Lepisosteus oculatus: one gene and its partners. The protein of the gene in region 1 binds, or shares a complex with, the protein of each later gene. Links are inferred from orthologs where the notes say so. Each region holds a gene or a part of one and is shown in the gene's direction. Other genes may lie near its edges.

Region 1 (7,702 bases):
TTACAACTAAAACAAAATAAGTCTGTGATTGCCCACCAGAAGTCTTCTACCAATATGAGCACAAAACACCCTACTGATCCTCCTTCCATATCCTTGCCCTTAGGTTTAGTAGAGGAAGTAGTATCGTGCCTTTTGCTGAAAATAGATCCTGAGTTTTCAAATTCACTGGATCCCTCTTCCAAGCCAGATGGGCTGCCAAGGCTTCAGTTTAGCCAGATGGGCTTGCATATGATTTACCAAACTTTGGCTGCACAGATGAATGCCCCTGGGGTGTCTGTAGTCCAAGAGGAGGGACACAACACCACCTTTCCACCACCTGACAAGATTAAAAATGCTGTGAGCTGCATTTACAGAGAACTTGTCCAGAGAATGGGCTCAAAGTTTGACCTTCAGTTAGCAGTGGCTTCCCAAAGCCCGGCTGTGTTCAAAATGATGATAGCACATGTGACCCGCGAAGTCTTAAAAATGCTGGTTTCAGGGAGCGAATGTTCCAGTCCGTGTATCCTTTCCTCGGGGCCTGCTGGCACTTTTGACCTGGACCCAAAGGAATCTGAGATGAGCTGTGACAGAGGCACAGAAGAACTACCTTCTGAAAAAAGCTGCTGCACAGCTGTGAAGGAGGCTGTAGAAATACATGAAAGCTGTCTGCAACCTACCAGCCGTAGTGAACTTTCTAAATCAGACACCTTTTCCTCCACAAACCTGAAGAGTCACTCTGGCCAGAAAGCCTCCTGTCAAGTGGGTTCTGCAGCTGTCGATGTTGCCCTGGATTCAGTAGCCTTTCACAGTGCAGCTCCAGGCTCCGTCCCAGCTCTAAAGGAGAACAGCTCAGGCTATGCCATGGCTGCTGAACCACTGTCGTTCCGGGAGAGAGCAAGAGATGAAAAGAGAAAGCCTGGAAAAATGAAGGAGGAGGCCAAAAAGGTAAGCACAGTCATTGTTTTTCTTTGCCCTTGTGCACAAGCCATCCTTCGGATACAATAGGCTGTTCCTCAGAAAGTTTATGATGATCTGAACTTTAAAAAGGACTATAACATTTTGTTGGCAGCATGTGGAGAAGCTGCAGACACAGTATAAAAAAGTTTTTGAAGTTTTACATTTCTCTACTTAACTACCCAAATGGCACACCCCAGTAACTGATGCATAGCCCCGTAGTATTGAGGACTTTTGGGTAGGAACTTAATACAAAGAGCTTTTCCTGGTATTGCTTGTGTTGGAATAATCTAACCTCATGTTCTTTGTCTATACACAGGCCAGCCAGAAATCTCTGAGCCTTGATAAAGGAACACAATATAGTGAGGCTGAGGGCCACCAAGCAGGTGAGTCCCCCAGAAATGATAGCATGTTCCACCCGGTCATTTACAGATAAATGGAGATTGCTCATCATTCTATGGAATGTTCTCTTTTTGTTTAAAAATCGATGTTGTTATTGTGGAACTTAACAACACTATAACAACTGAATGAGTGAACTGATGTTTTTAAAGTGCATTAATGATTTTTTTATTTTCAGCATAAACACTCAAGCTTTCTATTGAGCAAAATGTTAATATGGAAGAAATGTTCTGCTCTCTCTTTTCAGATTCTCCATCTCCTGCAGTGGAAACTAAAAAGTCCAAGAAGAAACGTAAAAACGTCTTTAAATTATTCTCACAGGCAATGAGGAAACTGGTTTGTGTGAAGCCAGTGTTGGATGATTGATCTTCACAAGAAGTCGTATTTTAATATATACAATATTTTAGCATTTTTAGGAAACAAAATCCATTTTTAAAATTTAAAGTCACGGAATGAAAGAATGGGTGTGAGGCAGCAGGAGTCAATGGCCCAACGTCATCAGCATGACCAGAGTCATTAAGGACAATCTTTCAACCAGATGTTTGAAGCAGCTTACAATGATCCGTACATGGTGTATACTGTGTTGGGTAGGCAGTAATATATATTGTAATTGGTACGTAATAAAAAGGGATTTATGAAGTATGACTGTCTTGTGTGGTTTGTTGGTGCAGTCTTGGTTCTGGGAGATATATATCTATCCTTTTGCAAGAGAAAAGGGTCCTAACATCCTTTAAAATTGTTAGAAGGCGTAGTTGGCTATAAAAGCAATCAAGGTTTCTGCATTGAAGGTTCACCATGTGTGACACTAAAGCATGCCTTTGTATTGCGGTAGGAAACTCATGTGAACACAGAGAGAACATGAGTAAAAGCCAGGCAGATAGCAGCCCAGGTGTGGGACAATTTGAAACATAAAGAAAATGGTTCTCTCACCACTGATCGCAGTTATATTAATGAGCAATTTTAACACAGGATTACTTACCTGTTATGTCGACATGCAGTGTTGGTTCATGTGACACTGTCGTGGTAATATGGGGATACCGGGGTCTGGCACAAAGTGGGTCTTGATGGCTCACTCCCTCCCGGGTTCTCTGCACGACAAGACAGAAGTGCTCGTGGGTGAGAGAGAGGTCTTAGCCTGCGTTTGGGCACATGAAAGGTGGGACATGTACCTGGCCATACATGCAGACAGACCACCAGGCACTTACAACACTGCTCTCTACAACAGGCACTGGCCACCCTAAGCCACAGCCTCTCTTCAGGAACTTCAGCAGACCTCAGGACAGGACCCAGTTCTTTCCCAGCTCCACACTTCCATATACTCGGAGTGGCCCTCCAAGGTCTCCACTGACCTGAGCCCCTTCCATCATGTTAAAGATGAGCTCTCCTGCTGGAATGAGTCATGTGTCATTTGGGGCACCTGTGCTGTTATTCCTGCCTGCCTTTAGGTGCGAGTGTTGCAGATGGCACACGAGGGCCACTTGGGAATAGTCAAAGTCAAACAGCAGTGTCTGGATCTGGTTTTGTGGCCAGGAAATGACAGAGACATCGAAACACTTGTCAGGTACTGTGAAGCCTTCCTCCTGGGACAGTAGGAAGTAGGAAAACAGAGAGCCCCGCACCACATCCTCTCCAGCCCCCAGACTGGCCATCCGAGCCCTGGGATCTTCTCCAGCTGGACATCTGTGGGGAGCTGCATGGTGTCTTTCCCCATCACAGTTTCTTCATCATGGTTTCTAATTTGCTCTTGAAATGACTGGAAGTGGCCTCCACTAGATCGGTCACCACTCAGGCAGTCATTGACTTCCTGGATTCCCCCTCTGCCCACTCTGGTTTTCCAACCAACATCACCAACGACAATGGGCCGCCATTTGTGTCCACTGAGTTTGGCTGACCAGGACATACGACACACTCGTAAGGGCCTTATACAACCCAACGGCAATCAGTGGGGTGAACGACTGAATCAGACAGTCAAAAATGGCATCAGGGCCCAACTAGCACAGGCCTGCTCCTTCCCAACTGTGTTCCTCCGCACCCTGCTCCACTATTGGACTACGGCCACAGAACTGGCCATTATACAATATAAGAAGCCCAAAGTCTCTGAAAAAAAAGTGCTTAAATGAGCAAATTTTCACTGTCTAAGACGTGTGGGAATGCTAACCCTAACCCTAGCTGGGGTTTCAACAAAGCAATCCTGCAATTTGTTCTTAAAGCCCTTCAGTCATCAGATTTGAAAATGTTTCCCAAACCAAAAAATATGAGTCTTAACCAAACCAAACCACTGAAAAAGGCCATTGGAGACTTGTATTCTTCAATAATGTGTCTTCTTTAGGTACATTTTCAATCTGTGGAATGGATGGTTTTGATACAAGCATGCGTTTCAGGTCAGTTTAGGGGTTGGTTTACAAGAGCTATTAAGTGTTGACCCAATTTTTACATCTACTGTATACAGAAAATTCAAGGTACTTAACCCTCACGAACATTTTGATCTTACTGTTTTATCTTTTATGTGTATTCCTATCTTACTTCCCAAACTTTTTTTTTACGATTCTCAAATAACAAGTTTCGTAATATATGCCAAAACTACCTAAAAAGCAAAAATTTAATAAATAATGCATTTGCCATTAGAAAATCTTGGTATCTTTACACTTGAAACATAGATTTCCAGAATTCCAGCATGATAAAGGTATTTTTACTGGGTGGGTAGTCTTTGACTGAGCAATGTAGCATTATAGGAATAAGTAAAAAAAGAGTATAAATGCACTCACAGGTGAAAGTTTCTGCTCTTCCCAAGTGTGAAACTTACCTGTGACATTGAGTCTTAAATACAACATTGAGAAGAACTATTGAGACTTGACGTCTGATTGTATATGTATTTATTTCTTAGCAGTCATCCAGATTGAGATACTACATATGAGATTTACATTAGGTAAGGAGAAGGAACAATCACGTATTCTCAAGAAGAATAAATGTAAATGAATTTTAGGCTATTTTTAATCTGCAAGAACAATCTATGAATAGTTTCAGACAAAATGAAATACTGTATAAAGAGTATACAAAGCAGTCATGAAAAGAACCTGACGTGAATAAAGACCATAAAGGAAATCACGCTTTCAGCTGAGAATTAAGAACAATGCGATTTGGATGAAAATGAATAAAGGGAAAGATGAAAAAACATTTTAGTCATTTTATTTTGTTAACTGTTTGTAATGATAATATTCTACCGTTTAGTGATAGTTTTTAATGTAAATATCTGCGGGTGCAGGAATAATGAATGGTTTTCTCTTAATCGAAGGTGTGACCATCAGCCAGATCTGACGTAGATACTCACGTGTTCGCAGGTGGAACGCCCCCTTGTGGTTAATTCGTCACAGCACAGGTAGTGTCGGGCGTTTTGCTGCCGTTACGCGCTTTGTTTCTCCTATCCGCTCCGAAAATCCAACATGGCGATGCACACCAAAGTAACTCCTCCGCAGATTCCAGATACACGCAGGGAGCTGTCGGAGCTGGTGAAGAGGAAACAGGAGCTCGCGGTAAATCCTTTTTTTTACATTACCGTCTTTTAAACCGTTTTTCGAGTCGCCATTGATCTGGGTAAATGTGTAATTTTGCTAGAGTGTTCTAAGCAAAACGTCATGTTTACAGGCGTATGTTGCTGCACTTGTATTGCGTTCGTTTGAGGAACGTACGTAACCGACCTTAGTGAATAGCAGCTCCGTCTTGTGCCAAAGAAGTGCCGGGTGTAGAGGCCGTGCACTCCGGTTAGCAGATTTAGGAAAATCCGTTTATTGTAAGGCTTAGAGGCCTTTTCTACACCGCTAATGTTAGTTCCTGGCGTGAAGGAAGGGGACTCAAGTCTCGGTTCTGTGCTTTGGATGTAGGCTTGTTTAAGAAATAATTAACGGCTTTCAGCAGATTAAACGATGACTTCAAGCATTCAATTTGGGAATTTAGTTGTTACGATACATAGTAAGGTGATGTTAGCATCGGATATAGCAGCTTTGCTTGGTGTGTGTGGTAATGAGGTCGGCATCATTTGATATCGCATCATCCTGACAATTTTAAGTATAACACGGCATTTACCTCAATGTAAACTAGTTACCTTGGTGCATAAATGAAATAGCACTTCATAGCGACTAATGCATCATGTCACAGACGAATGAACGACGAGGAATCTTGTTACATGAGAAATTCCAGATCTTTTTAGAATTATGCAACATTGAATGGCTCTCTAGTCGCGTTGTCAAACCCGATACCTTGGATTCTTTCAATAAACGACAGGATGAGGTCGGATCAACAGCCTGCTAACAATCAAACACGCTAGACGAGAGAGGAAACCCTTCTCCCGAGGAATGTTATCTTCTGCTTACACCCAACCCCAAATATAACGACATTGCGTGGATTTCAGTAGCCCTTAGCTTATATTGCCCCGCTGGAGGGTTGCTGTGGAATTGTAAGACGCACATTAGCTGGCGCTCATTTCCCGCCCCGATCCTGCAGGAGACGCTGGCGAACCTGGAGAGACAAATCTATGCGTTTGAAGGCAGCTACCTGGAAGACACTCAAATGTATGGCAACATCATAAGAGGATGGGATCGGTACCTAACCAACCAGAAGTAAGATCGGTTCAAGTCTTTCTTCCGATAGCGATTTTGTGCTAAGCTTGGCTTTGCGTCACTTTTTTAATACCTTTTAACCTCTGTTGCAGAAATTCCAACAGCAAAAATGACAGAAGGAACAGAAAGTTCAAAGAAGCAGAGCGGCTCTTTAGCAAATCATCTGTCACATCCGTCGCAGTAAGTTAAACGCTTGTATTTCATATGAAGTTAGCAAACTCGTCAGGTTTCTTTAAACGTAGATGGAACATACTTCATATATTGACGAGATGTTAAGCCTCTTGTGAAATAAAGTGATGGAATTTGTTTGAGTTCTTAACATTTCATGCTTTTAACGTTTGTTGTCCCTGTTTCTTTTCCAGGCGGTTAGTGCTCTAGGAGGAATACAGGACCAACTTATAGAAAAAAGTAGGCATTATATTTCTGTCCTTGTGCTCTTCACAGTCATCATTCCTATCTGTAAACACGACTCGGTAGACATCAAGGATATTTGTCATTTTCATTAACACAAAATGCACAGCTACAAGTTAGATAAGTCTAGATCGTTCCTATTTGATTTCTGTCAGACCAGCCAGCAGTAATTCTGTGAAGCTCTTTTCCGGGTTCCAGAGGAATTTGTCTTGCCCTGTAAATGTCATGGGAGCCCCTGTGGTGTGGTGATGTGCATTGCTGCTTCACAGTAAGGATTTCCTTAATTTTCTCCCATCAGGGGAGCCAGGCAGTGGAACGGAGAGTGACAATTCCCCGGATTTCCAGAACCAGGAGAACGAGCCCAGCCAGGAGGACACGGAGGATATGGATGGGCCCTTGCAGGGGATGAAGCCCCAGAAGGCTGCCTCGTCCTCTTCTGGCAGTCACCATGGCAACCACAAGAAGAGGAAAAACAAAAACCGGCACAGGTATCCACTTGTGATGTGTTAAAACTTTTGTTTCACTTAAGCTACAGTTAATGTGATCATTGTAATGGAGCTTTTGCACAGTGAGACCGGTTTCGCAAAGGTCATGCAGGGAGAGTGTGGAGAAAGAGCTAAAACTTTCTGTCAGAATTATTTAATTGTTTAGAAAGCGCAGACTTTAACTTTGTCACAGACATTTGGCAATAATTTGAGCATATTTATTTTTTACGTTTGAAAACGTAGTATTCAGTGTGTTCTATGAATGCTTCAAAACCAAAATTGCGAAGTCTTTTTTTCATGTAAATTTTATATGTTCTTAAAATTATTTGCAGCAAGACATGACCTTCACCCCTACTGTAAGCAGTCAGAGGATTAGTTGAATGTTGAATTACTTGCTGAAATAATTTGACGTATAAGTACTGGCAAAGGTTCTGAACAAAAACGCACATGGGTCAAAGTATTAGGAACCCCCAAACAATGCCATCCACCAGGCATTCAACTCTGCTGTGTGAACCCTGCTAACATTAAAATCTGCTTGAACAAGACATGGCATGTATTCTGATCTTGTCCGGTATCCCATTCTTCACCTGCTTTGCCTTCAGCCAGGATTGTCAGACTGAAGCGTGGGATTATAATGCACCAGCCCTTTTTACATCTGGGCATTGCCCTGGCCAGTGGGTATAGCCATGCATGTCCTGAGACCAAGTGCATACTCCTTTAACTAGGGGTTCATAATATTTTGGCCAGTGAATATGATAAATACATAGATGTACATTGTTGTTACAGTATACAGTTGAGGAGATGATTTAACAAATAAATTAACGACTTACTAGTGATCCTTAACTTAAATACCTTTTGTTT
Region 2 (7,655 bases), on another chromosome or scaffold:
AGCTGCAAATGATCTGAAGTTTAGTGTAAAAGTTTTGATCACGTTGTTTTCTGGCCAAGAATGTGCAGGCTACCCGCTAGTGATATCCAGTAATGATATGGGGGGCTTCAGAATAGTGTTAACCATGTTACAGGTTCTGGACCACCACAAGAGGAGTTTAAATTGCCCGTCCCCTATAAATAATTAAGTCAATTTTGAAGGATAATTGACCACTTTGATACCAATGCAATTTAAAGTTTGTTTTTAATATTGCTTTAACGTGTTTGATTTTTGTGTTCACCTGTGGGTGGGCGTTTTGAGGGTCATGTTCGACTCATCCACTGACGACGTGCTGCGCTTTCTTTGGCTTCAGGGGGTGTGCTGCTCGGATCACGAGCACTGCTGCCCACAGGGCTACTCCTGCAACATCAAGGCCGGCACCTGCGAGAAGCGCCACGAGGGCGTCCCCTGGGTGTCCCGGAGCTTCCCCGCGGTCCTCGTGTCCCCCTCGGAGCAGCGCCCCAGGAGGGACGTGCAGTGCGATGAGGAGCATCGCTGCCCCGACTCGCAGACCTGCTGCAGGACCTCCTCCAGTTCCTGGGGCTGCTGCCCTTTCCCCAAGGTACCCTGACACTTCCAGTGCAGAGCGCATCTCGGGAGTTGCAGTATCCAAACATTTTCCGTGTCTCGCACTCCAGTGCAAATGCAAGGAGGAGAGGGGCAGGAAACTATAAATGTAAAGAAAATGACTTGCAGTTGTTTTCTGAAATACCCTTGTGTAAGAAAGTCACGGTGAGAACAATGTAGATATATATTCGTGCAAGGTGTTCATGTTCTTGTGCACATGTGCTTTCACTTTAGCACTTCAAAAACTTTAAAGTGCAGTTTTAGGCCTTAGTCTAAAAGGAGTGTCAATATGACATCTCACCATCGCAGTGGTACACCTTACTGGAATGTGGGTGCTTGTTGCTTACCAGCCAAACAGCTCTCCAGTTTACATGGTGCACCATGGAGCTAAATTTATGTGTGCATGGGGAAACCATGTGTCCCAGGGCTTGAGTCAAACCATCACCTCAGACTGGAGCAGTTCTTGTGCATTCTCTTCTAGCAGGCACTATTTGCAGTGCCCTCTGCTGCTTACCATTACTGTCCAAAGATGGGACCTTTTTCCTTAATTCCCCACGAATCAAACATAATTGCTCAGCAGTATTGCTTTCACTTATATAGCGCTTTTCTGGACACTCCACTCAAAGCGCTTTACAGGTTATGGGGATCCCCTCCACCAGCACCAGTGTGCAGCCCCACCTGGATGATGCGCCAGTACTCTCCCCAAACACCAGCTCTCAGTGGGGAGGAGAGCAGAGTGATGAAGCCAATTCATAGATGGGGATTATTAGGAGGCCATGATTGGTATGGGACATTTGGCCAGGACGCCGGGGTTACACCCCTACTCTTTTCGAGAAACACCCTGGGATTTTAATTGACCACAGAGAGTCAAGACCTCGGTTAAAATGCTGTACGCGTGGGGACGTCATGTCATCTTAATTTTTAATTCCCCGCACTCGGCCGATGAGTGAGGCTGCAGCAGTATGGTGGCACTGGGTGCGCTTGTGCTGTTCAGCTCTTCTGGGCTCCAGCTGACCGAGCGGTGGTGTCTCTGCAGGCCGTGTGCTGCGACGATCAGAAACACTGCTGCCCCTCTGGATACTCCTGCGATGGCGCTGGAGGGTCGTGTGTCCGGGATGGGCGTCTGACCTGGGATATGTTCTTCACGGAGAGGGAGAGAGCCTTAAACCACAACACTTTGTAAATCTCTTCTCGGCCTGCAGCACATATCCACACCCTCCATAATCGGCAACGTGTTAAGGAGGGAAGGGGAATGTACAATGAGACATAACTGACCTGTTATTTGTGACAAATACTGTTTATTTGGTAGGGGGTCTGCGATGAAGTGGAAACAGATTTAAAATGGGGGACATCAGCTGGAACCTGCTGAATGATTTTTTTTTTGGAATGTTTGTGCTTTGCAAGACTTGCTTTATTGTGCTCCACTAAAGGAGCTTCAAGCCTGTACCTTTTTGTGTTTAACGATGTGCTGTGACCTGAAAAGTGACGTTAGATTTCTGCAAAACTGACCACTTCATTAGATCAAGGGCCCTTGCCTGTGTGCTCTGCACTAACTGACATTTCAAAGCAACTAGATTCACCCCCACATCTTTGGAATAAAAGGATTCAGATTTCAAGAGAATTGATTTTAAGTGAAATTTAGTTTTAAAGAACGCGTTGTTAAACCCAGTTTTTCTATGCAGTGAGATAATAGCATAATGGAGGAGGATGATGTCGAACTCTTCTCGGGGCTTTACAAACCATTGGCAAGCGGAGTTTCTGCTGCTTGGCCAGGTGCCTGCAGGCTCGCGAAGACATCATGCTGCTTTTCCAATTGGCACTGCCTCTTGTTGGCTACTGTGGTGCCCCCTGCAGACGAGCATGAAATTGACACCCTGAAAAGACAAACCTGTTTTAAGAAACGTATGAAGGGCTAGATGGCGGTGATGAAGCAGCTGTTCTAGAAAAAGAAGCACACTTTTGTAGATGCTGACACAAGGTAGCAAAATCTAATTGTCTTCGGCCTTGCAATACTGTCTGGTACAGAAGAGGATTTTTACACTTATTTGACCCAAAGTGAATTGTAAACTGAGGAAAAACCAGGGAGAACTGTTCTCTAGGAATGTTTTACTGAAGCACTAACCACATTTCTCTCTGGAACTAGAAAATGTGAACTACAAAAAGCATTTGTTTTGTCCTTTTGTGCGGGTTTGGTTTTAATTGTACTCTATCCTTGCAAACAAGCCAGAGAATCACAACATCACAGTTCAATTATACAGTCCACTTATAAATCCCTTGATACTTGCAGTCTGCCTGTAAGCATAAAATCCGTACGATTTTGTAAATTTGCACTTTTTTTTTAGTTGAGTAGTGTGAAATTGAATTTATTAATGTTTTATCTTTGACTTCAAAAGGGGGCATTAAGGCTTCTTTTTTTGTGGCCTTCTGAACAAGAACTGATTTAGACCCCATTTATTATTGCTGTAAATCTCAATAAAACCTAAATGCAAAGAACCAGCTTTGTGCCAATGTGCTTTAGTTTTGCTTACGGTTTTAAAATATTGATCAAACATCCGTTACCATTAATGCAACAAGTGTAACTTCATAATAAAATTGGTGCTCTTTTTTTATTTAGTGCACTTTTACAAAAAGGTATGGAATTTTCATTCCAGTAGATAATTTGTATGACAAGAACATCTTGTTCATACCCATAAGCATAAGGGAGATGCTGTATTTCAAAGTGCATTTGGGATGTGTTTAAAAGATTGTGCTACATAAGAATTTACTTGCACCATCTTAATGGGACCTTGCTAGAACTACCACTGTTGCTCCTCATATGTCCAAACGTGGTTTTGTACATGCCGATTTCAGAACTGAATAGAAGGGTTCTGTCTTTGTAGACTTAAAACACCTGTGCTTTTTGTATGGGGAGATATGAAAGGAAAATCACTTCACGGTAACTAAAGAAAAGGCCAAACAGATTAAATAAGAAAAAGAAAACTCTTTCTTTGCAATTCTTTAACTTCAGCATCTTGTCCTGTGAACCACATATCTAACCAAGCATCATGTAGCTTTTCCATTAATCTTCATAACTAATACACACCACTGGATTCTCCCTTCAGACTATTTGCACTGGAGGCTTTGCCCTGCTATCTTGATTGAAAAGGGATTTTACTCTATTAAAGACAATTGTGTGTGTATATACAAATTAAAATAAATCATTTCTATAAGTCGTCTTGTTCGTTCTTTTGCTTTAATGACGATATTTGTAATTTTGCTTCAGATTTAAGGCCAAGAAAAAAAGACAGCACCTTCTATAGAAAAGCATGTGTAGTAAACAAAATGATGTATTGAAGATGAAAGTTATTCCTTAAGACATAGGTTTTGTTACACAAACAACACATTCACAACATTTTGGATAGGCAATACATGATCACACGTGTAGGTTTATAAGTATATTTAAGTCAAATATTTCCAGCTGATGCTTGAAGGAATTGAGAGTATTGATGGAGTATCTTAGCCTAAATAGATGATGGTACCTAATTTTTTGGACAAATGTAGAGCTATGAGTAGGTAATTCTGGGATCTGGACTTGTAAAGCATGTTTACCAAAATGTCATTTTCACTACACGACTTGGGTTTCTGGTGTTTTTACTCCTACTGCAAGTGTGCTATTTTTGTCACTTTAAAGACTTGGGAGTAACAACATCCATTTGTGGGTACAAAGGACACCCCTGGGACAGCAGTATTCAGTACCTATGTTTAAAAACAGACGTGTTTTCAATACAACATAATAGTTAACTTCAGGAACACAATCCCATTTATCATTTTTCCACGAATTTATATTCACTTAAGACTTAAAATTTTTTTCTGAGCCAAGAAGTAACCACCTGCCTGAACATACACCCCTATTCGTCTTACCTCTACCAAGATGGCCGCCTAATGTACTACGTCAAGGTCGCTCTAGCCTAAATATTCCTCTCGATGTTCCTTTCCGAGATTCCGAACAAACAAGACCTAATCACGTGAGTCCCCTCCCCTCGCCACAGTAGACCGGAAGTGCGGGTGGGGGGGGGAAGCTGTGGCCAGTGTGTGGCGCGAGTTCCTGCCAGTCTCTTCTGTGTACATATGAATTTTGGAAGTCGCGGCGCGTTTTCCATTAATACCTGCAACATTTATCGACCTTGAGATTCACTGCTGCCCTCGCAAAATCAACGCCGCACTACCGCCAAACGAAGTATGCCCCGCAGGAAGGTAAGAATGTATCTGTCTTTGAAGACGCCTGAATTGTTTTATTTTTAATGGTCATGGGCAAAAAGCCTTTTGCACAGCCCTCAGGACTGTCAGGGCTGTGTTAAAGATGGTTGCCTTGTTTTGGGGAATTTACGTGCAAATTGTATCCCGTTTCGTCTTCGCCGACGCTTACATTTAGGCATTTCCACCCAAAAAACAACTTGGGGATTCAAAATATTTTGAAGAAAATCGTAAAACACGCCTCCCGTCGGCTTCCATCTTGGCTTGCTCGGCTGGTCGCAGTTGGCGCCCCCGCGGCTGAGGAAACTACTAGAAGCCGAGGCTGCAGTCGGGGCCTGAGGATAAGAACGGAACCTCCGCCAGCTGTGTTAGGATTGGTGGATCTGCGGGCTGGGGGGCTTGTTCATTGGTGCTGGAGGCTGCCTGTCAAGGATTACTCCCGCCTTCGATCTCTCCTGATTGGTCGGTGTGTTTTGGAGCGCTGTAACTGGCTCCTTTTGCTAGGAAGAGCCTTTGTTATGGAGTAAGCGGGGTTCCGTTATTGTAGTAGGTGGTGGTTTGTTTTTTGCGGAAAGGATGCACAAGTTATGGAATTCGTGATTGGTGACCACTAAACGTTTGTTTTTTCTGTCCTGAGCGTTTTCTACCTCGTTTAACCCATCTATGCAAAAGGTGCACTCTGGGATCGGTGCGGGCGGAAGTGAGCAGCTCCCGGAGGCAGCGTGTTTCTTGTGCTCCCAGCAGCTGGTTGTTACAGTGTGGGGGGGGGGTTCTAGACGCCCACATCTATCCGGGTGGGGTTGTGTTGCTAAGGATACTGCTCTTCCGGCCAAACATTAGCTGAACAAGTTGTGCATTTCAGTAAGGAAAGGTAAAAACAGATTACAGTCGGTAAACATGACGTGAAGTCTCCCCTCTGTATTTGGGAGAATACTTCTTGTGTGAGTTGTGCGGACCTTTTGCAGCGTGAAATGATTCACTCTGAATTTGCGGACTCTGAACGCACTGGCACAACAAAGAAGGAAAACTTCCCTTTCTCCACCCGTTGGTAATTGCGGAACTTTATAAGTGCTTTTCCGCTGGGGCTTTCTGGACTCGATCCTTGTTCTCGGATTAGGGGAGTGTCTTTCTTGTGTACGCTATTGGCGAGTAAATCGCAGGCCATATTCGTTTACACGGTTACCGTGGTAACCGCTACCCACAATCCCATTGTGCTGAGTATTTCGGTTCACTCCATTAGTGACAATGTACTGTTGTTACTCTTTGAGACCAACCGGTCACAAATTCCAGTTGCACCACACGTACTTAATACAGGGCGATGTGTTAGTTTATTCCTAGGCAAGGCGAGATGGAACCTGTTTTCAATGCGGATGTCGCAGTGGGCTTGGCCAAGAATGTGGGAATAAAAATAAAATGGTTTAAATTAAATTGTATAGAACATACAGTAGACTCGCCACGCATATCTCTAGATCTCTTGGTTTGGCTGGGTTTGATCAACTATTTTGTTATAATTATTTCATCAAGTCAGTTGAGCGGCAACGGATATATAAATCGTTGCATATTTACATTCGCTCTGTTGCTCTGAATATAGATGTTCAGGAGCTACAACCATAAAATTCAGGCTTCTATCTCTTGTTTCTGGTCACTTATTAAAATTTAGTTCTGGGTTAACAGGGCAGCGGTAGTCCGACTATGACGAAAGAATGTGTTTAAATTATAGCTGCTGGAAAGATTTAGGCAATCTTGCAGAGGCTGACACCCAAAACATTGATCCGAATCGACCGAACCCAAGAGAAATTCGCCCTGTGCGCTCGGGTCTGAAGACACCGTGACATAAGGAGGCACTTCATGTTAAATGTTAAAGCAAAATTCTTTAAACGGGTTATTCTCTCACTATCGTGCATCCATTTTAAACAGGTGCTATGTTTTGTGCTACGGCAGTTGTACAGTAGGTAACACTAACCTCTGGACAAGAATTTCCAAACTAGTGCCCTAGTATGGTGACACTGAGAGACCGCAGTGTTGAAGGAGGTGACATGAGGATTTTGCTTTCCATTCAGATTAGAACACAAGAAATATAGCAAACAAGAGGTGGCCATTTGACCAAGCCAACCAGTGTAAATCGAGGCATCGAGGCAGCAGGTAGCCTGGCCCTGTCCATTACCCGAGAGAACTATTAACTGTGTGTGGAGAGAAGGGAGCGAGGAAGCAGAAAACCTGTGGGAAATAGAGGGCAGAGGACAGTATCTCAAGACGCTGTGAAAAACGATGTCATGTTAAAGTAAAGAGTGGGATTTGCATCGGAACAAGATAAATTGTTGCTATGTAACTGTTACTGTGTTGAAACTTAATGAGATGTGATCATATATACTGTTTTAAGTATGTATATTAATGTAAAGCTCTCTATTTTGTGATTCCCTGTATTTGTGAAAAGAAAATAAAGTTCTTAAAACTCAAAAATGGGAATGTGGTGGATATACCTGTATAGCTAACCATGCTTTTTTTGGTGTAGAGGAACGCAGGGAGCAGCTCTGATGGGACGGAGGACTCGGATTTCTCTGCCGACCTGGAGCACACGGACAGCTCGGAGAGCGACGTGAACTCGCGCAGGAACACGCGCCTGACCCGCGCCTCCGTGCGCCTCAGCCAGAGCTCACAAGGTACCGCCGGGCCCGGCTGCCTTTGAGGGGGAACCAATCGACCCGACAGAGCTCGCTCCAGGAAGGCACGGCGCGAATTGGGCTGTGCGCCGAACTGAAGGCACCCAAATTGCTAGGCAGGGTCCGATGGCTAGAGAATTGCCATTGGAGTTTCTG
Region 3 (6,889 bases), on another chromosome or scaffold:
CCAATATCCTGGCTTCTTCCAAGAAACACCTGCATGAGATTCTTGCATAAGTAGCAGTAATTACTGCCTTCCAAACAGGCTAGATGGGCCAAAAGGCCTTCTCTCTTTTTTACTTTTCTTATGCATTTAAAGAAGAATTGAGGCCTTTGAGAGGTGTTAAAGCAATTTTAGGAAAAGTGACTTTTTTTTTTAATCATTGCCTTGAATGATAAAGAGGGTAGAAAACTGCTTCAAATGTCAAACCTGAATTTAGGGTGGCGTACAAGCATCTGTGTTGTTCTGTGTGAAGAGTGTCCTTTGCGTCCCTTGATCTCGTTTTGCTCCGGAACAGGCCCGGTGGTGGCGCTGGAGTTCAATGGAGAAGGCGTTGTGGAGGCATGTCGCCAGGTTGCAAATGAAGTCTTCAGTGGCACCAAGGTAAGTCAGCACTGTGTGGTAACAGCTACCAAATAGTTAGCTAGTAGATATTGCCTGGGCAAATATGAAATATTAATTTGTTGTGTGAAAAACTCACTGTACATTAAAAACATTGTACATTTTTATAGCACAAATCTGTAAGTTGTGCAGTTTGGGATCTGGAAGAAATATTTATAGCACTCCTACCGTTTCTGGGAAACATCAATCCACTTGCTATCTAAGGGTGTGGGTGTGTTGTCTGAGATGAGGGTGACTGTTAGGTCATCATATTGTTGCTGTCTACTCCCCTAGGTGTTCGTTTCTGAAAGCAAGAACTCGTCTTCAAGAGATGTAGACAATTTCTTCAACTTTGCAGACATGCAGATGGGAATGTGAAGACTGCGAATCATTGCAGGCCTCGGGTGTATTTTTTTTTTTAAAGTATCACCTTTTCTAAAACTGGCAGTATTGTGGTTTTAATCAGTCTGCGACCATGTAAAATTTTCTAGGTTGGTGACAGATTTTTATTCGGAAATAACCAAAGCCGCACATATTATAACAATGTAGATTAACATTAGCTCTTCTTAAAGAGTTAACATTCTATTATTGACATCTGTATGTGCAGTAATATTGACATGTCTGTTTTGTCTAGCCCTTTCTATTTTATACTTGTAATTGTTGGACCAAATTAGGGACGTATCTCAAAATGAACAAAATTCTTCACGTGGATACAGTAATTAAGGTAAATTCAAACAAAATGTATGTAAATTGCTACATTGTGGATAGAAATGTATTGGTGACAACACAATTTATCGCTTTTTAAAATTTGCTTACTCAAATTATTTATTATTGTTGAAATGTGTTTTGCAAATGACATGTTTAGTGCACTGGTAGTTGCATATTTTTGAGAAAAGACAATTTTCGTCTAATCATCCACAGTACTTTTTGGCTTTTGGATTTCATACAACATTTGTATAGTTATGTTTGTGTAAATATTTTTGTGAAAAACCTGGATTTTATTTTAAGCTTCAACATTTTATCTGTGAGATACTGCTGGTTATTAATGATTTCATCTTAAATTCCCCTTAAAAAGGGGGAAGATTGTGATGCCTGTAACAGGTTTTTTGTCAGATCTCAAGTGAATACAGTGTGAGAAGGATGCTTTTTTGTCATAATCATGTTTTCCAGTACATATTTTTTTCCAATGTCTTAATTTTTTAATATCACTGGTTAGTACTTTTTCACGAATACAAGTACAGAATGTACATTACACTAACATGTAAAATATTTAATTTATATTTAAATGAATGTCTTGCATCCATCTCGCAAAAGCCTATTAAGTTTGAAATGCTGTTTTAGTGACCTTTTCTGTATCATAGTGATGTACTCGGCAGTTTTGAAAGGAAAATTATTATTCGACTGAAAGGGCTAAAAGTTTTCTTTTTAAAAAAAAATATATGAAAAGTGTGTGGCTCATTTTTGTGACCAGGTAGAGCTGTAAACTTAATTAAAAAAAAAAGTTTTTGTACAACTAAATGTTACATATTTGTATACATAATTTTATAGTATTAAATGTCAAATGTGATTATAACAACACACCTTCCTGATCTGTTATGTTCACGTTGTGGCAGAATGTGTTTAAGATTCCAGTATTAATTTTGCGGGGAGGGATTCTCGAAGATCAGCGATATTAGAATGTGCACAAATGAAAGAATCTAGATAGTTCACTATGTCAAGAAGGGGTGCCATGGTGATTAGCACTGCCGTCTGAGCTTTTGGGGTCCTGAGTGCAAGTTTGGACTGGGGTACCTTCTGTAAAGTGTCTGCATATGTACGTTTCCCTTGTGTCCATGTGGGTTTTCCCCAAGTGTTTTGGTTTCTTTCCATGGGCCAGAAATGTGCTGCCCATCTTAAATGTCCTCTTTTAAATTCTCCCTGTATGTTGCTAAATGTGGTTGTTCCTCCACTTCTCACAGTTACTGGTAAAAGAAAATGTATTTCAGCAAATTAAGAGGGGTGGGGAACTTCATCATCTTTAGTTCCTGATTTGAACATCTTTTTTTATTGCCAGTTGTGTAACTCACTCGTCCTTCAGCGCGGGAGTACACTAATGACCAGGCCAGAGCTCCTCTGACCTGACCAGTCTTTCAACAGCAAGTGATGTTCATCAAGTGAACATCATGGAATTTTAAGATGCTCTTGTAGACCTGCATTGCAGACGGGAGATGTCGGGGACAAACAGAAATGCTAGTGTGCAGAGTTCAGTCCATGCTCTTGAACATGATGGCCTGCGCAGCTCTGGTCATGTAAGTGGACAGCTTGCAGCAGCAGCACAACATGCTAATGTCAAACCACTTTTCCACATAACTGGCTTCGTGCCTGAAGACCAGCAAGTAGGAACATTATTGACTGTGGATAGCAGCTCCCTTATCGTCTCGGAAGATGCTGTGGCTGTAATCTTGCCATTTGAGACTGCGATACCAAAAGATCTTTGGAGGGTGGAGAAGATGGGTGATTCAGTTGGAATTTTGAGGTCCCGAGTTACAGTTTCAGCTGTAATAACTAGATAAGACTTCTCAATCCGTGCTGAAGAGCTGGCTGTTATGTAGTAAACTTTACTCTCCGATGACAGTCTTGTGAGCCGTGACATCAGGTAACCATCTATCAGATGCTAATATATAGGGGTTCAAGGACTCCAACATTAATACCACTCTGCAACCTTGATCCTGTGATGGTGCATCGTGGTCTTCACAGTAGAGGTGTCTATTCTGCTTGCATTCAAAGTTCATGCCATCTGGGTTATCTTTGATCAATGCTCTGACCTAAACTCCTTTGCCTATTACATTCGTGTTAGATGCTTAGAGGTAATTTCAGTCATTTCTGTAAGAGGCCCCACCCAGATGCAATATTCGGGGACTTTACTTCAAACTACTGATGTAAATCAGAAAAATCTCAGATTAACCACTTAACTTGTTTGGAATTGACTAATACAATTTTATATGATGTTCTTTGTGGATACGTCATGATTTATTTGGGAACGTCATGTTTCTAGGTAGTGTCTGAATTCCAAAAATCTCTTCAGGCAGTGACTTTGGGGTGAACAGTTGTATGTTCTGACCAGAAATAAACTTTGCATTCACACTGCTTTACCAGAAGAACAGATACGAGAATCTTCACAAAGGTTTTACACTTTTCTGTGCCATTATAGTTGGAAAATATAAAATTGTTGGACTTTTTTTTGTCTTTTGTGGTGGTTATATTTACACTAATTGACGTACACATGATAAAATAGGGACAACTCTTAAAGAGAGGCAGACAAGTAGTCGACAATAATCTTTTTGTAAAAAAAAATGTTACTAGTAACTTAAATCATGTGAACAAAAAAAAAAAGATTTTGCGATGGAAAGAGTCGTATTCGGCAACAGGACTTTAAATAAAGTTGATTTAAAAGAGATCGGCAGTGCACGGCAAGCAGGAGGGTAACGGGGAGAGAAAAGGCGGAGTCTAAGACCCAGCGGTAGTGCTGATAGTACAATAGAGCTGTTGTGCTGCTGAGTGGAAGGGAGATTGCAGGGCTGGGAATGGAGAGAGTGGAATGAAAGGGGGGAAAAAAAGGAGAGAAAACAGCGCGATTGAGCCCTGGGTCGGGTCAGTGTTGAGGGAGAAGGCAGTACGACGGGGGGAAGACGGACCCCAAGCCCCCATCGCTCACGCCGGGAGGGAAAAGGTAAGGAGCGCGCTGCAGGAACAATGCTGCCCGTGTCTTCTCAGTGCGGTGTGTGCCAAGGCTGGCTGGCCCCGCTGAGCTTTCTGCACGCAGGGGCCTGCTTTCCCCTCAGTCGGCATGGCCTTTCGCTCTTGTCCTTCGGGAAATGTGGAGTGCGGCGCCCAGCAGGCGAGCGATAGGACGGCGCCGGGTGAGCCCGGCGGATGTCCCGCTTTGGATCCGAGGGGGCTGCGAGATCGGTAGACGGTGATGTTGTGGAGTGTGCTTGAGGAAGTGCCGATTTCTCTGGTGCGGCGGTGGTGGCGCCCTTGTTTGCTTTTCGCTCGGTTGTGTGTCGTACTCCCGAGCATGCAGCGAGACTGCCGTTTGGCGCCAAGGCCACTCGATTGCCGGGGAGAAAACGAAGCGTTTTGTAAATGGGTGGGCCAGGACACCGACTCCTTCTTTCATTTCCTTTTTTTTTTTTTGTTGCTTAGGGTTTGCTGTTACGTGTTCCGAACTGGCAGGCGGTCACTTTAAACCCGCCACCGCACTTAGGTTACACAAGCCGAGCGAAATTTAGCCTCTATATATAATGAGCGGGGATGGTAACTCGTTGTGGGGACAGAAATAGGTTGTGCAGCAGCGGAGCGCAAATGGTCACCAACTCAAAACGAGTTCCTTCCGACACACTTGTGGTATGTTTTGGCTAGATTCCTCACTAAACCACTAAAAGTTTTTTTGTGTGTCATTAACCCTTTGTCAGAGACATGGTTATCACGATTCGCCCTGACCAGCATCCCTGTGTCGCCTGCGAACTGGTTTCTCTAATTTGGTGTGCGAAGCTCTTGGTCTGTTGTGATTCTCTGAACGTGTCCGGGCAAGTGTTGGATGGTATATATGTATTTTTTTTCCCCTCCATAGGTCATCTACGGAGAAGCAAAAAGTCGTGCTGTAACTTGTAATGACAGTTGATGTCAATCAAGCTGCATTGCTCGTAGGCCACATGTTTTCTGAGAGGTGTGAATTGAAGCACTGTCGAGGCATGGTGTTTAATTCTCGGATCAGTTTCCGGCCCTCTTGCAGCATTGTCGTTAGCGTTCTGGGCTCATGATTTGACATTTATGGGGCGCAGATCTCTGGTGGGGTTGTGCTGTCGAGTCCTTGAGCCAGGAAGGATTGCTCGAGTAAAAGGGTCAGGTTTCAGCCAGAGTTGTACAACTTTCATCCGTTTGTTTTGGAAAGCAAAATAACTTTGGCTTCCTGTGCGCTGCCTACAAACCTTCATGTAAGCCAACAGTTATGATATTGACTTACATTCCCACGTGGGATTTAATTAATTAGGCTGATGCTTTTATCTAGAGAGATTTACATTTTTACCTGTTTTCACAGCTGTGCTTTTTTCCTGAAGCACTCTTGAGTGAGGTAGTCTGCACAGGGGTACAGCACCAGTTCCTAGTTTTGAACCCATAGGAGACGGAGACAGACAGGATTTCATTTAGTTCACGTGCAACATTCACAAACACAGTCTTGGAGGCATTTACCTTTTGTCATAAATCTCTTTTACATAATTTGTTCTCTTTAGATATGTATGCATTGATATAGAAAATATGATGAAATATAATTGATAAGTATAAAACATTATATTGAAAAAGAAAAGGGGGAGACACTAGGTTTCAGTTATGGGACAAGTTTAAATCAAAGCTGAGCTGACGCACACACACCTTGCAGATCAACAATATATGACAGTAGCTTTCTGTCAAAATATTCTTGTTTACCCAATTACATTCCACCATCCAGTGTTGGACTTCTAATTACTGACTGTTGGGAGAATTGACATTTAGATTTAACCAGGCTTGAGTCCTTTCAACGATAATTACAGCAAATGTCCTGCACTGGCACGGCGCTGCAATAAGGGACCGGTTCTTCAAGGTGGCTGGTGTAACTGGGCTGCTGCTGTTAAAAAAGCACCACTAGAAAAATGTGACGAAGTGTACTAAATTGAGACAGCGTGGCCAATTTCTATTTAGGTAACGAGTCTTAATATGTCACAGTTTCATCTCAAGCGTCTTAAGTGTTGAGGTTTACTGTGTTATATGTTCTTTTTTGAAGTTTCTGGATACAGCTCACAGATATAACTGTTTAACGCCCCCTTTTTAGTGAAAATATCAATGATTTGCTTTTTGGTGATCAGTTTGTTTTTTCCTTCTCGGAATATGTTGCAACCTGGACTCCAAAAATCTCTGGGCCTCCTCTGAGCGGTTCGGCTGAGCGCGAGTTGGGTTCGGTGGTTCAGGCATTGTCATGTCGTGAGCCAGCAGTGGGCAGGATCCTCCGGTCAGTGGCGCGCTGTTGGTGCCAAAGGTGGGCGGGCCAGAGGAACCTGCATGGACTTCCTCTTTTCCCGTGTGCGGTGGCATGGTTTGTAGCCGTCAGCCAAAACTTAGCACACCTTACGATACACACGATTCCCACAAATTCTGGTGGGTCTAACGCAGAAATACTTAACAATTCTCCATTTAGAAAAACCCTCAAGGAATCGGGGCTTGTTATTCACAATAACGTGGTCGTTTTAATTTTTTTTTCTTGGCTCGCGTGTCCACTGCGACATGGTGGTAAACAAAACTATCATGTTATGTCCAGGGTTGCGACTTCATAAATATTGTGGGCAAAAAAAGAAGGATTCTTACACGGAGCGTCTTCCTAGTTTTAAAGTAGTGGCTCTCTAAAGTCGCTCTTGCCTTGGGAATTGAACTGGGTAGTTACTGATTCCTCTCAAATCTGCAT
Region 4 (6,882 bases), on another chromosome or scaffold:
CATAAGCCTCATGCTTTTAACAGTTACAAATCATTCTGAAACAAATATCACTATGGTGAAATGACATATTCCACCACATTAACATCGCCCTCTCTGGTATGTTTTGTCAGATCTTCTATAAAAACATTGCATTCTGTAAAAAAAATAAGAATATTAAGTAATGACACTATGTTGTGCATCAATGATAACCACAGTATGAATGGCACATTCCTTTTTATTTTAACCAACACACTGTATTTCTATATCATCAGGTTCCTTTGACAACTTAAAACAAGGTTCTTGGCTAGTTCAACTACTTTGTGACATATTCACCACATGGTGCTATTACCTTCGTAAAGTACTATATAAATTTTTTCAACTTCTACTCAGTAAAGTGTTTAGCTGAAAGTATCTGCAGTTATTTCTTTACTCTTTGAATTATGTATATTTGAAGCTCAAGGATTAAGAAAATGTTTTTAGTTTAAAATGAATTTGGAATACTATCAAACATTCAATTAACACTGTTAATTAAGACGTCAAACACTACAGTATCCCGAAACACAACAGAAATATAATTAATATAAACAGGGACAGCATTTGACAGGGTGAATGGGTAATAAGCTATGAATACAGATTCCCTCTGTAGAAATAACTCAACTTTAGCTCCCTGCTGAAGCAGTGCACCATGTGAACACAAAAGTAAACTTTTCTTCAGTCCACATTTTCACTGATCTATCAAAAGGGGATCCATTACCAGACTAAGAAAAGTCAGTCTACAGCCTGGCTGAAACAAATGCAATACACTGCCAGTGGTTTTACTGTCAGGGGATAGGAGACCACAAGTCATAACTCAATCTTCACGATTTATGAATATATACAAAACAGACTATTTTTGACAGAACTTCACAATAAAGTGTTTTTTTGTCTCATTCCTCTATATACAAAATATACTTTCGTAACTACCATGATGCACCTCTTCTAAATCATTGTGATATGAATACCTGATATGAATTGAGGACCTGTACATTGATTCTCCTTTTTATAGCTCTGCACTTGTGTATAGTATGGTAATAAGCACTGTATAGCACTGGAGGGACTGTATGTACAGCACCAGTTTCAACCGAGTTCGTCTTAGCATCTTACATGTGATTGGAGAGTATCGTATTCCAAGGCATTTACTGAATAACTTAGTACTGAACAAGTATATAAACATCATATTCTAACTGTGATAAGCCACATACATAACACGAAAACAAAAGCAGACTAGATTTATAAGAAAATACATCTACTGGGTAGCTAATGCACATTTACTAAACCGCACTTCTAGCCATACGTTTTATTAGTGATACCACCACGATTTTTCATTTTGCACTGAACATACGAGACAATTAAAACCTTGCATCTCACTGTACGCTCCGATTTAATTTTATTTTGCGTAATTGGCGTTCGTATTGCTATAATTAATTGACAGATGAGCAACTCCACGTTGATTGTCAACAGACACACGACTCCGTATTTTAGGGTCTGACTTATAATACCGTTTTAATGAAAAAACGAGGCTTTAAAAATACTGCCTGTCAAAAGACAAAAAGGCATAAACAGCTTCGGCATCGTATTAGATCGTGGTCTCTTACATATACCGATCGAGTGCACCAAACTCGCATACATACTCTAGTGCAATGAGAGTGGAAAGTACAACGCGATAAAAAGGGGGACAGGTACAGTACACAATCTTTGGGGTCTGTAATAAAACGCGGAATAGCCTACCTACGCAAAAAACATGAACTGTAAGGTTTCACCCGGAACTTCAACAGAAAGGTTTCTTTTTTCTCTGGACAATGTGCGAGTAAGCAAAGAATAACCCTCAAAGTACATATACAGCGGACTTTACATAAAGTCCTCTACACGTGTAGCTACTAAGCTCTTAAAATACCTGAAACGTTTAGGTTTTAACCAGGTGAGAAACGTCAAGATTTTCAACTTTTCCGGTTTAATGTTCTTTTAGGGGCACAGTGACATCATTTTGCCATAATGCTGTAAACTGGATCATTTTGACTTGGAAAAAAAATGCTACCTATTCTGCATCTATCAAGACAAAAGCAAAGACGACTGGATCAAGGTTGTTTTAATCCGCGATTGTCGTTACCTTCACCACAGCTCACCTTTATACGAAAGGGAACATCCTTTGAATAAGACATGAATCATTTTTTCTGCTCTGCCCAATGCATTGATACTGTCAGCTACCAGTTACCCGAACAAAAGAACACAAGGCCTACCTCCGTCACACCACAGACAACAACAAAAACACTGGCGAAAACACGCACTGAAATTTACCTTGCTGTGACAGTGATCCAAAAAAAGAAAAAGAAATCCAAAGTCTAGTAAACTTCACTGTATGACATTTCAATTTCCTAAACGAGACGACCAGATGGGGTTCCTTGCTTTCCTATCCCAGTACAGGCCCGGCCATGTTAGGCCAAACAGGAACTCAACCTGGTGAGGCAGAACCAGATCCTGGCAGCAGAACACTGGAAGAACCAGCCGGAGAACCGGATCAGCCCAACACCCTCACACATCTCCACTGCAAGCCAGCCTTTCAGAGCAGAGCCGCCGAAAGCGCTACGCACGTACCTACCTTGATGCCCTGAGATGTAGTACAATCAGTTTCGGTAACCAAATAGTTAAATTAAAAAGTGTTTAATTGAAGTGAAGAGTCAATTAGTTCGTCGCTTTGTCTCCCCTGCAGTTAACAGCAGCAGCTCTACAGCGTAGGACGGAAGGAACGTGCTTTTATGACGTCATAGGGTTGAAGGGTTTCCAAAATGGCGCCGTTGTAGTAAAAAAAGGAAAACAAACCCTTTTCCTGAATGCGCGGCGTCTGAACTGTATAATTACCCATTCTTTGATATTACGTTTTGCGTTTTTGTTTCAAAATGATCTTATGCCCTTTAGCCGAATGGCCACTTGCTATCACCCATATGTCTAGTGAAACAGATATTTATATTCGACATAAACTTAAGATTGATACAGTTGAGTATGTTTTGTTTTCCTGTCTCACTCGGCACTAATCTGAGGTCATGTTTTTATAGGCCAGATTTGCGCAGCCAGCAGAGACGTGCGTTCTAGGAGGACTCCTGCGTAACGTCACTTAGTTCCACCCGGAGAAATCTGTGCAGATTTTGCGCAGAGCTGAGAAGTTCCTGCAAGAGACTGTCTGCGGCAGTGAACCAATAGGATAACGCAGAGGTCAAGAATGACCGGCATTTTAATCGCTCTCGAGCAAAACTACCGGCAGTTGCATTTATTTGCATTTCGTGTCGTCTTCCGCTGTGCAGCGGTGCCGTTAAGTTTGGAATAGGTTGTTTCTGTAGTTTAGTAGTTACCTTTGACGTCAAGTATATAGGATCCACAAGCGGAAAGCTCGGGCGAAATGAGAACACAGCCCTGTTACACGGGGTTTCTTGACCTAGAGGGTCACTTCCAGGGGTAGGGATGCGCCATTAGGTGGGGCAAAGAAAAGCTTTGAATCTGCATTTAATTGTCGTGTTTTTAGGTTTTGTCATGTAGGAGTCTTACTGCAACTATGTGAAATATCACATCTGAATACTTTAAATTAGATGTTGTAAACATCATAAAGACTGGTGTAACTTACCAGGTCAAAAGAGCTAGAAGGATATCTATTGTCAGTCAATGGAAATGAAATGCCTGCTATTACTGTTAAAGCATATAAATACATTGGTCAGTTCTAGCCCACTTCGGTATTACGCTTCAAGTACTGCATTCTGGTGAGATTTATTTTTTATAGAATGCATGAAGACGGAAAAAAAACGAACATCTGATTAATATGTAATACAGACTTCTCCAAATTTTCTTTCACTTAGTTTGTGGTTTTATATACAACGCTGAAAACAAGAGTGCACGACTCTACCAGCGACAGATACAAATGCGTTATTAAATTAACCAAGCGTTTTCGTTTTTAGAGAGCAGGATATATTAGTACTTGGTGTTTCCGATATTACTCATACTACCACTACTACTCCAGCGTCTTTTCGCATCGGAGATACACAAAGCAACTTCCTGACCCCACACAGACGTACAGTCTTGAGAGGCGTGACTGCGTCGTGCGTGGCGGGTGGGCCCTCCACTGGAACCGCATTGTTGTTGAGGAGAGAGGCTCGGGGCAGCTGCTGTTCGATATTAGAAAGCGGACACTTCGCTTCACGAATGGTCCTTTTTAGTAAGAACGGCGCGCTGAGGACAGAACTACGTTCCAATTCCGGACAGTTGTCGCGGAGCCCAGTCCGTATTCTTCAAACTAAGAGCTGGAATCTGTGCTCGAGCGGCGGCCGTTGGATGTGATTGTGCGGAATCACAGCCGCTCCGCAGGCCACATCGCCATTGCTTTCAGCTCCGCCGCTGTCTGGATAACAAAACCTTCGGACCAGCGAGGTATGGGCGTCTTACATTGTTACGCGTAGAAATCCGTCTTTCGCGGAGGTGAAATCCACCCTGGAAGGATGAGGATCGGTTTGCGTGTGGCCAAAAACGAACTTTTCGTGCGAGTACTTCGGTTTCTTGTTTTGTTGGACGCCATATTTGCGTTTTCTAGTTTTATTATTGTGGACTGTCCCAGCACCCCAGGCCGCTGGGAGGCTCCGCTGGAGCGTCTTGGTTTCAACAATAGCCTCAAACTGCACACCCAGTCAAAGCCAGCGTATGTGGTTCGTTGCGGGTGAGGTCCTAGCGGAGTCGGATTAAAATAGTTAACTCCAGGGTGTTGAATTCCCATTGATTCAAACAGGCCCGGGAAAGTGTTTGGTGCAGTGACGTCACAGGCCCGGGCAGTGTTCCAGTGCTACAATATTTCTTTTATACAAGTTCCTGATTTTGGCAGTTAGGTAACAAAGGAAGTTCGGTAAGCTAATTGCACCCATTGTAAGTATGCTTCTGTTGTGTTGAGAAACTTTTTTACTCTGTTTTTAAGATGTTGTCTTGACGACACAAATGGCGTGTGTGTGTCTTTTATGTGGTGTATAAATTGCACGTCTGAAAGGTGTCAAAATGCGATTAATGTTTCTCCATAATGGTGCAAATCCTAATGAATTACTTCTGGCAGCTCTTCACGTTACCGGGGTTTTTATAACAGAGCGTTAAAAATGTGGTTTTATTTTAGTAAAAAGTCTTGTGTGTGCAATTTCGAAAAGTACGTTTAATGATGATTGAAGTCCTATTTATTTAACCTGACTCATTTGTAATGAATGGTAGTCTTGTTTTGAAGGTAAAATGCTTTGGTTCGAAGGTTGGTTTCACCGTAGACGTATGTAGTTGTGATTTATTTTTAGGGGAAATGTCTGTCCCTCGAAAGGTTGCCGACTTAGCATTGTGTGAAGTAAAGCCTTTAACCCCTCTGCAACAGCCCCACTCTTCTGCAGACGTAGGGTTTTCACGAAATTCAGTTCTCCTTCCGTCAATAGATCCTGTTTACGCTGGTTTGGTGAAAGTAGGGAACGGATAAAGTTAAGTGCAAGTTTTGTTTTCTACGAAAATAATCAGAGAAAACAACCGAGACTGAAACCAAGAGCATAGTCTTGGGGGATGTTACAGCTGGAACGCAGTTTACGTTGTTTGGATGTATATAATTAAGGGTCCAGGTTTTAGATTAATCGATAGATCAAATGAGTTCAGTATAACGAAACTGGTATCTTATTAAGTGATCTAAAACCAGCAGACCATTGGAATATACAGTGCTTAAAGAATGTCTGGCGCAAGACCGTGTTCTGCGTCTATTTGCTTTTAACTGTATTTCCAGACAGTTTTGACTAAGTCATATCTCCTTAGGGAGATATCGACCTAATATCATTTCTGAGACATGTCCTCAGTCAGGGTTATCATTAGAAGAACAGTTTGTGACAATTGAATTTGTGAAACTGTGGTTTGAAAACAGAAGTAATTTTAAACACTAAGTGTAATTTGCGGTTGGTACATTGGAGTAACAAGCTGGAGCAATGGTCCGTGAAAATTTTAGTATTGGTTTACTTACATTGCTTAGTGTTGTTTTTTTCTTCATTTTTCCAGGTCAGTCAATTTCCAACAATTCTTTTTATCAGTATTTTAGTTGCAACCATAGGACGATCTTTATAATCTCTGTCCATTTAAGTTAAATGTTACAATATGCTACAATCATTCATTATTTTTGCCATTAAAAAGACGGTCTGAGAGACCCTCTTACATGCAGCTTGTTAAAATATAAGCTTAGTTGATGTAAAGATTTTTATGTTTTCCTGTTTAGATTATATTTTTTAAGACATCCGCTCTTCCAGTTTCAGTTGGATCTTATACCAGTTACAATTTAAGATTTTGTTTTAAAAAAGTTCAACTATTCATAGAGCAGATCAAGAATACACTGCTCAAAATAAGATAATTCTATGTAGGCAAACTCAGTGAAGTTAATACATTTAAGCATAAATCCTTGAAGTGTCAGTACTTTTTCTTCTGTCAGGTATTATGCAATGTGTATCTTGCCAAATATTTTCCAGAGGGGAAAAACAGCATAGATGCACAGGTTGTAGCATGTAAGGGTGTGTTGGTTTGTCTTTTAAGTGACATATCTGGCTGCCAAACATGACAAGAACCGGAAGATGTAATGGAAGGGACAGAATAGTTGGTAGTAATGCTCCTGCAGTTGTGCATGTGCCACAGATGTTGCTGAGGGTTCAGTGATATTCCATGCTATGGTATTAGAGAAATTTAAAGCCTTACGTTTGTAGATGTATTAAGAACAAGTTTTCTTGCCATGAATTTGCTTTACAGCACAGATAAATAAATGCTCTTTCAGTGGTGGTCCTGAGTTTTAGTTTTTGTATAACAAAAGCAGCAAGTTCTTTAATCTGAAGTCATAAAGTT

Evidence for each region.
Region 2: meaf6 (region 1) and kat7b share a complex: the UniProt entries of both Homo sapiens proteins name them as parts of the HBO1 complex. The link is inferred for Lepisosteus oculatus from reciprocal best matches to the Homo sapiens genes MEAF6 and KAT7.
Region 3: meaf6 (region 1) and jade3 share a complex: the UniProt entries of both Homo sapiens proteins name them as parts of the HBO1 complex. The link is inferred for Lepisosteus oculatus from reciprocal best matches to the Homo sapiens genes MEAF6 and JADE3.
Region 4: meaf6 (region 1) and brd1a share a complex: the UniProt entries of both Homo sapiens proteins name them as parts of the MOZ/MORF complex. The link is inferred for Lepisosteus oculatus from reciprocal best matches to the Homo sapiens genes MEAF6 and BRD1.

The regions. Positions count from the first base shown.
Region 1 is NC_090706.1:12,445,104-12,452,805, reverse strand, and holds the start of meaf6 (chromatin modification-related protein MEAF6), read left to right. Parts: upstream 1-4,697; 5' UTR 4,698-4,772; coding exon 4,773-4,862; intron 4,863-5,829; coding exon 5,830-5,945; intron 5,946-6,037; coding exon 6,038-6,125; intron 6,126-6,307; coding exon 6,308-6,353; intron 6,354-6,654; coding exon 6,655-6,844; intron 6,845-7,702. Other genes in the region: uncharacterized protein, read left to right, coding at 1-924, 1,253-1,319, 1,580-1,698.
Region 2 is NC_090723.1:8,372,107-8,379,761, forward strand, and holds the start of kat7b (histone acetyltransferase KAT7), read left to right. Parts: upstream 1-4,636; 5' UTR 4,637-4,824; coding exon 4,825-4,839; intron 4,840-7,351; coding exon 7,352-7,499; intron 7,500-7,655. Other genes in the region: progranulin-like, read left to right, coding at 353-601, 1,643-1,789. UniProt on the Homo sapiens protein: Catalytic subunit of histone acetyltransferase HBO1 complexes, which specifically mediate acetylation of histone H3 at 'Lys-14' (H3K14ac), thereby regulating various processes, such as gene transcription, protein ubiquitination, immune regulation, stem cell pluripotent and self-renewal maintenance and embryonic development.
Region 3 is NC_090710.1:21,975,181-21,982,069, reverse strand, and holds the start of jade3 (protein Jade-3), read left to right. Parts: upstream 1-3,885; 5' UTR 3,886-4,123; intron 4,124-4,151; exon of another isoform or gene 4,152-4,800; intron 4,801-6,889. Other genes in the region: rp2 (protein XRP2), read left to right, coding at 332-417, 709-792. UniProt on the Homo sapiens protein: Scaffold subunit of some HBO1 complexes, which have a histone H4 acetyltransferase activity.
Region 4 is NC_090702.1:35,425,530-35,432,411, forward strand, and holds the start of brd1a (bromodomain-containing protein 1), read left to right. Parts: upstream 1-3,865; 5' UTR 3,866-4,428; intron 4,429-6,882. UniProt on the Homo sapiens protein: Scaffold subunit of various histone acetyltransferase (HAT) complexes, such as the MOZ/MORF and HBO1 complexes, that acts as a regulator of hematopoiesis.